Danio rerio: one gene and its partner. The protein of the gene in region 1 interacts with the protein of each later gene in a biochemical or structural test. Links are inferred from orthologs where the notes say so. Each region holds a gene or a part of one and is shown in the gene's direction. Other genes may lie near its edges.

What was found.
Region 2: the proteins of itpr1a (region 1) and cabp1a form a complex in vitro, tested with the Homo sapiens proteins (2 studies listed by BioGRID). The link is inferred for Danio rerio from reciprocal best matches to the Homo sapiens genes ITPR1 and CABP1.

What each region holds. Positions count from the first base shown.
Region 1 is NC_133181.1:42,526,395-42,530,051, forward strand, and holds part of itpr1a (inositol 1,4,5-trisphosphate-gated calcium channel ITPR1), read left to right. Parts: intron 1-817; coding exon 818-1,018; intron 1,019-1,089; coding exon 1,090-1,200; intron 1,201-1,618; coding exon 1,619-1,714; intron 1,715-1,829; coding exon 1,830-1,958; intron 1,959-3,657. UniProt on the Homo sapiens protein: Inositol 1,4,5-trisphosphate-gated calcium channel that, upon inositol 1,4,5-trisphosphate binding, mediates calcium release from the endoplasmic reticulum (ER).
Region 2 is NC_133183.1:48,381,901-48,386,065, reverse strand, and holds the start of cabp1a (calcium-binding protein 1a), read left to right. Parts: upstream 1-1,215; 5' UTR 1,216-1,847; coding exon 1,848-2,528; intron 2,529-4,165. UniProt on the Homo sapiens protein: Modulates calcium-dependent activity of inositol 1,4,5-triphosphate receptors (ITPRs). Inhibits agonist-induced intracellular calcium signaling.

The sequences.
Region 1 (3,657 bases):
TTAGAGAGACCCAACAAATTGTTTTTAGGTTTTACTCTTGTGTTCATATCTGTTGTGATGGATATTTATCATCTTCAGTAATACTGTAATTGATGTTTGACCAATATGCAAGCTGACATTGTTAATCATGTTTTAATGTGTAACACTGCATTTTATTTTTTATTTTATTCCTGAATTAATCTGTTTTTAATAAATTGTTAAATCTGTTTTGAATGGTTCAATAAATCTGTCTTTAGCTGTTTTCATCCAATTATTTATTTAAAACTGCACTTAAGGATTTCGCAGGGAAACACTAAGATGCACATACATTCTAAAAACGTGCATTAAATACGTTTGCACTCAACTAAATCTTTATTTCTTAAAAAAAAACTGATTTATAAAATATAGCTTAAGGGGGCTAATAATATCGACCTTAAAATGGTTTTAAAACTGCTTTTATTTTAGCTAAAATAAAACAGTTAAGACTTAAGAAAAACATTATTGGAAATACTGTGAAAAATTCCTTGCTCTTTATTCCTACAAACATTATTTAGGAAATATTTAAATAAAGAAATCAATTTACAGGAGGCCTAATAATTTTGACTTTATTTTACATTATACATCTGTTATTTTGTTTTAAGAAATCTGCAAACACCTGAGAGAAAGTCACTCCTCAAACCGATTTTGTAAAATTACCTCTGAGAACTGTCTTGCACATTTGTTTTCTTAAACATCAGGAACCTGAAACCAGTCACATGACAGAGTAAATTATTGGGTGTGTTGTATACCGTTGAGTATGGTCAAATTCAGCCTATAATTTCTCCTCTTTTCCCCACAGAATTTTCTGCGCTGTCAGAACAATAAAAACAACTATAATCTGGTGTGTGAGACGCTGCAGTTCCTGGACTGTATCTGTGGCAGCACAACAGGAGGCCTGGGGCTGTTAGGACTCTACATCAACCAGCATAACGTAGCGCTCATTAATCAGACTGTAGAGAGCCTCACTGAATACTGTCAAGGTCCCTGCCATGACAATCAGGCATGTACTCACACTTCAATTTTTCAGTTATTTCACATATTTCTATCACTCATACTTACCATATTCAACAGAATTGCATTGCCACCCATGAGTCTAATGGCATCGACATCATTATTGCACTGATTCTGAATGATATTAATCCACTGGGCAGGAAGAGAATGGATCTGGTTCTAGAACTAAAGGTATATCATTTTACACTCAATTGACAAAGTAACAATACTTTTCAGTTGTAGTTTCTGAAGTTTGTGTAATTTTAAAGACTTGTAAAGCAGAAATTTTTCAGACGTTTTGAATTTTTTTTAAGGCTTTCAAGATATTTCTGGAAGATCTGTAATAATTGCATGAAAAAAGTTGCTCAATTTTTTTTTACAAAAACTAGGATTTATGCTATATTAAAATTAACAAATAATATTATTATAAATATTTAAATTCCATAATTCTAGAATGTTTTTGTAATAATATTATTTCAGTAAAATATTGTGTTTCAATAATATTTAATTTTATTTATTTTAATATATCTGTTAAATATTCAGTTTTTGAAATATTCAGATATTTTTTAAAATTGTATCTTGTGAACCATCATTTGTCTTAATTCTTCAGAATAATGCATCTAAGCTGCTGCTGGCCATCATGGAGAGCCGTCATGACAGTGAGAATGCAGAAAGAATTCTGTACAACATGAGACCAAAAGAACTAGTGAGTTATCACTGTACATTCTGTTGCACTCATTGTGCTAACTGAAATCATACTATGTAAGCAGATGGTAAGTCACAACAGCATTTATACAATCCTGACTGTGTTCATGTTTAAGGTGGAGGTGATGAAAATGGCCTACCAGCAGGGGGAGGCAGAGTTTGAGGATGAGGAACAGGAGAATGGAGAGGATCATGCAGCATCGCCTCGCAATGTTGGACACAACATCTATATTCTTGCACATCAGGTACACACATACAATCACATCTGTACATAAGAACTTTTTGTGGTATATGATTTTCCACAGTTTTCACATAGTCTGTTAAATCCACAATAAATTTATGTTTAATATATTAGAGCATTTTGTTTACAAGAGTCATATTATTATTTGTTTGTACACTAGTTTGAACTATCTTGAATGTTGCTGCTGCTTTTGCTGAATGTAATTCCCAGTGGTTGAAAGTCCTTAAAAAATCATACTTAAGTAAAAGTGCCATTACTTACAAGTAGAGTAAAAGTATCTGCTGTAAATATTACTCAAAGTATGAGTAAAGAGTAGACCTTTCAAAAGTATTCAGGAGTAGTGAGCAGTGAGTATTATGCTGTAAAAAGCTGATGCATTTCAGTGTAATTTGAGGATGTGTCTAAACTTAACATTCTGCACACTATGTCATAAGATGTTAATATTAGATTAGATTAGATGTCAGGTGACCAAAATTCTATGTCTAGCCAGCGTCTAAGGACAACATTATTCAAAAATGACATCAAAAGATGTTAATATTTGGTAGATTTTAGGTTGTGTTGGAAAGTGACCAAAATCCAGCATTGAGCCAACATCTTAAACCAACGTCATATTGACGTCAAATACTGACATTTATTCGTCAGGTATAACAACCAAAATCCAACATCTGGTAGACGCCACAGTGGTAACATCCACACAACATCAAGCTGTATCATCATTAGATGTGGATATTTGGTAGATTTTAGGTTGTGTTAGAAAGTGACCAAAATCCAACGTTGAGCCAACATCTTACCCCACGTCATATTGATGTAAGTTACTGACAGTTATTTATCAGGTATGACAACCAAAATCCAGCATCTGATAGACTTCATAGTAGTAACGTCCACACAACGTCAAGCTGTAACATCATTAGACGTTGATATTTGGTTGATTTTAGGTTGGACGTTGGACATTGACATCGGCATTCTGACATCAACCCAGTTTTCATTTCCAAACAAAATGCAACATCCCCACGATGGTGCAATGTTGGGGTACAACGTCAATCTGACGTCATGTAAACAACAGTAAACATCCATCATCTTCTCTTCAGTGACATGCATCTAAACAGTCTCTGGGTCAATGTGTGTAAAGATGATTTCGGACATCTTCTTAATCACTTTTAATGCTTCCAAATGGTTTGCTGCAATTATACGTCACCAACATGTCTTGAGGTTGTTCATTATAATGCGATTTACCTTCTATGTGCGATTTGATTGGACAGGAATCACAGGACTGATTTTTCTAATCCCCATAGACAAGATAAAGTAAAATAGTGACTGCAGATTGAAGGAAAGTAGTGGAGTAAAAGTACTGATTCTCCACTTAGTTACTTTACACCACTGGTGATTCCCACCCAGGTTATGCTCAACTGGTCTAGGCTGTGTTGAGTTGATTGTTAGTAATAGGATGTCGCCATATCCAGAAATGTAACTATTCGTAATGATTTTATTCAAAACATTTTATATAATATCATTCAGAATTTTCTAAACAAAAAATGTAAACTAGGCTTAAAAATGGATTCAGGTTTTGTTTGTTGTGCTGGGGTATCTGAAGTATGTGCTGTAAAGCCACTGCCCTCTTCTGGAAAGAGAGTTGCAGCTTATTTGCATATAAAAAGCGTGCATGAAAACTTTTTTTTTTTCGCACACTTTCTGGGGACACCATA
Region 2 (4,165 bases), on another chromosome or scaffold:
TTATGAATCTCATATTGCATTGCTATGTTTTGTATTTTTGCTTGTCATTGTGAGTTGTGAATTTTATTCTGGATAATGTAGGCTGAATATAAACTCTTGTTAAATTGTTTAATTTATATTCACCTGTTACATTACATTACACATTATATATATATATATATATATATATATATATATATATATATATATATATATATATATTTTTTTTTTTTATTAATTAAGCGTGTATTGTAAACAAATGTATTTAATATGTTTGCATTTATATTATCTAATAAACATTGTCCTTATAATTTTACATAAACAAGGCATTAATGAATATTATAAACATGTATTTATGTGATAAACCAGGTTTTTTTTTATTGTAAGTTGTCAGACATTAGTTAAGTAAACATTATATATAATTACAGTTTAGATTTGTTTTCTCATTTAACATTTATCTGAATTTCTATATTTATCTAATTTCTCATTTTATCTAAAAAAAGAAAAGAAAAAAACAATGTTGGCTCAGACTTTTACATAACCTACAGGTCATTGAAATTTAAATACATGTTTTTTTTTCCATTAAACATGTATTATAAAAGTATTTGATTGTTGTTTTTTATTAATAGGCTAAGCTGTCAGATCAGAGCTTTACCATATTAAATATTCATCACAGGTTTTGCATTAAACATACATCTTAATAAAAAGGCATCATTCCGTTTTAATTAAATTAAAAGTCTTACATTAGACATTTTATTATTTGTGTCATCTCAGAGGTTTATGACAGTATGTAATTAAATATTAAACACAGGTATTGAATTAAACATACATTATAAACTAATTTATTTATGTTTTATCAGATCAACCTGTTACCTCAGAAGTTTACACTGACAGGAAAAAAATAAATATTAAAGGGATAGTTCATTTACCCAAAACTGAAAATTCTGTCATCATCATTACTGAAATTTCACTTGTCACAAACCTCTTCGAGTTTCCTGGGGGGATGTGCCAATGGTTCTAACATTTTTCAAAGTAAATAAAACATTTTTATATTTAAATATTTTTTTCCCATTAAACATATGCCTATTATATTTCCCAGAGATGGGTTGCGGTTGGAAGGGCATCCACTGCGTAAAAACGTGCTGCATAAGTTGGTGGTTCATTCCGCTGTGGCAACCCAGGTTAATAAAGGGACTAAGCTAAAAAGAAAATGAATGAATGAATGACGTCCATTATAAAAACATTATTTTATTGACCTTTTTATAATATGATTTTGCATAATAAAAATGCACTTTGCTTTTATGTAGGCTGTAAAAAAAACTCATTTGATATGTGTAATGTCCAAATAACCATAAAACCATAAGGGATAAGGATTTTGCTCAACATAATAATTTTAAAACTTTAAGTTTATTTAGCAGGATCACATTTTATAATTAGCCCACTTTGTTTATGAACGGAGTGAAAAATCCTTTCCATATGTTTCTGGTCCATACACTGTATGTTGTCTTGTCACCCACAGGCATCTGATGATGCACAACATACGTTCTCCTCGTGTCCTCTCTCTCTCTCTCCCTCTCTCTCTCTCTCTCTCTCTCTCTCTCTCTCTCTGAATCTTTTTTTGGTTTATTTCCTTGCCCATCTCCCCTTATACCTACGCGTCCTACCAGAATAGCGCTTACACCGCCTTACGGAGCAATCAGGTGGCACCAACTCCAACATCTCGACAGCATCATTTCAAGCCCAACATGCCATCGAGGAGGTACCGATGTACCCTCAGCTCTCTACATCGGGCTATTCTATTCAAGCCATAATAATGTGACACATCGGAGGTCAGCCTTTACCTTCAAGGGCATTTGAAAAGGCAGAGGATGAGTTTCACGCTCCCCAAAAGCGAATCGACGACCTCCTTGCTGAGATCCTCTGCACCGGCCAGGAGCGCGGTCCAGCCGCCCGATCATCGGCGACCGCAGCATCAGCGCTCCGCGGCGGCATCTGGAGCGGAGCCGGCGGACTGCGATGCGAGCTCGCGGAGACCCCTGTGTCACCCCTCACTGGTCGGTACCCGGAATAGCGCAGAGAAGAGCCACCCACAACCCTCCCACGGACACGCTCTCTCCGCGGCTCGCAGTCAGGAGGACCTGTCGGAGCTTCCAGGTGGAGAAGAGCGCAAGACAACCAGGCGACATCACCATCATCACCATCACCATCATCACCACCACAATCGTCATCATCACCATCACCGCCACCGCTCCACCCGGGACGACCTGCCCCAGGAGCCCCGACCCAAGCACTCTCACGCCGCTCGCATGCCCAGCAGAACTCAGTCTTTCTCCGAGTCTAGAGACGAGACGTCGCTCTTTTTTGAGTCTCCTCCGCCGGCTCGACCGGGCTCCTCCACGAGCAGAGAGGTGGGTCCAGCCTCCACCGCCTCATCTTCGCCGGTGCCCGCGTCCTCCAGCCGCTCCTCCCGGAGGTCAGCGAGGTCCAGCGCAGCATCTTCCGAAGCAGACTTCAACCTGCGACCCTTTCTCAGCTCAGTGTTTGGACAGGTAAGGCCCGAGCACACGCTTGGAAAATGACTTTCTTGATGGTTGTTAAATGAGTATAAACCATAAGCAGAACAAAAAGACAACTAAATAAACTTTTTGCTAATAGACATGATTTTAATAAATGTCGTCCTTATGCACATCAAGTTTCTGTCATCAAGTTATGTAGTCTGAACATGTGCTAATAACAGTTTTTGTCCTTTAATAGTTCCCATTTCATAGATTTACTATAATAAGCTGTGTTGTTTTTATGTTAATTAGCCTACCATAAGTTTAATCTCAGTTTTCTACAAGCTTACCATTGGTAGCAGATTGTTTTTTTTTTTTTTCTAATAAATATTTGATTAAAATATTACAAGATTGCTGTTACTAAAATGTTACTAAAAGTTTACTCTATGTTATATTTTTAAGGGTTTTTATGAATAAATAAAACATTATTAACATTATCTGTAATAAGTGGGTTAAAAAGTCCAAATACTGATAAATTCATCTTATGAATTGTTCAGCAGTGCATATTACTAATTTAAAAAAGTATTTATATATTAACAGTAGTAAATTTACAAAAAATCTGAATGCAAGATGGTATTTTACGTAAAAAAAAATGAATTCAAAAGTTATGACATACAAGAAAAATCAATTAATTAATTTAATTTATTAAAATTAATTTTGAACCATAACCATATTGTAAAAATTCAAACTATTAATGTGCAACAGTCAAGAGTTTTCATGTTGACTATGTTTTGGGTCTTCAATGATGTTTTTCAGTGTGTCAAGAAGAGTTTGATATAATGTACTGCATGAATAATTGAATAATTATCACACCCAAATGTGCTGAATCCTCAATGAAAGGTTTGGGGTGATTTAAAGGTTTTACATTCCAAGTGAGAAAACATACAGCTTCATTCTGTGTGTAGAAAAAATGATGTTATAAATATAGGTGTGTGTGTGTATATAGATGCCGCATTAAATTGCTTCAGACACATTGATGCATATGCCATTGAAAAAGTCATTTAGTTGTCATTCACAAGCAAAAAAAAAAATGATTTTCATGATGCCACAAGATGCATTGCACAGCCTGTTTTAAATTCCTTCCTGTTTTTTGAAAAATGGTAAAGCGAGTTGTGCCTATTAGATGGATAGATGGATAGATAGATAGATAGATAGATAGATAGATAGACAGACAGACAGACAGACAGACAGACAGACAGACAGACAGACAGACAGACAGACAGACAGACAGACAGATAGATAGATAGATAGATAGATAGATAGATAGATAGATAGATAGATAGATAGATAGATAGATAGATAGATAGATAGATAGATAGATAGATAGATTTTAACGGGACTTAACTATTGTTGGAGATACAAAGTCAGCTTGCAAGTGTTTTCAGATCAGGCTTTGCAGTTTCAATCTGGCAGACAACTTACAGCCCAAAGAAATAGCAGAGGCATCTATGTATATTTATGGTTTTATTAATCCAATTAGAGGCGAGGCAGTGGCGCAGTAGGTAGTGCTGTCGTCGCACAGCAAGAAGGTCGCTGGGTCGCTGGTTCGAACCTCGTCTCAGTTTGCATGTTCTCCCTGTCTTCGCGTGGGTTTCCTCCGGGTGCTCCGGTTTCCCCCACAGTCCAAAGAC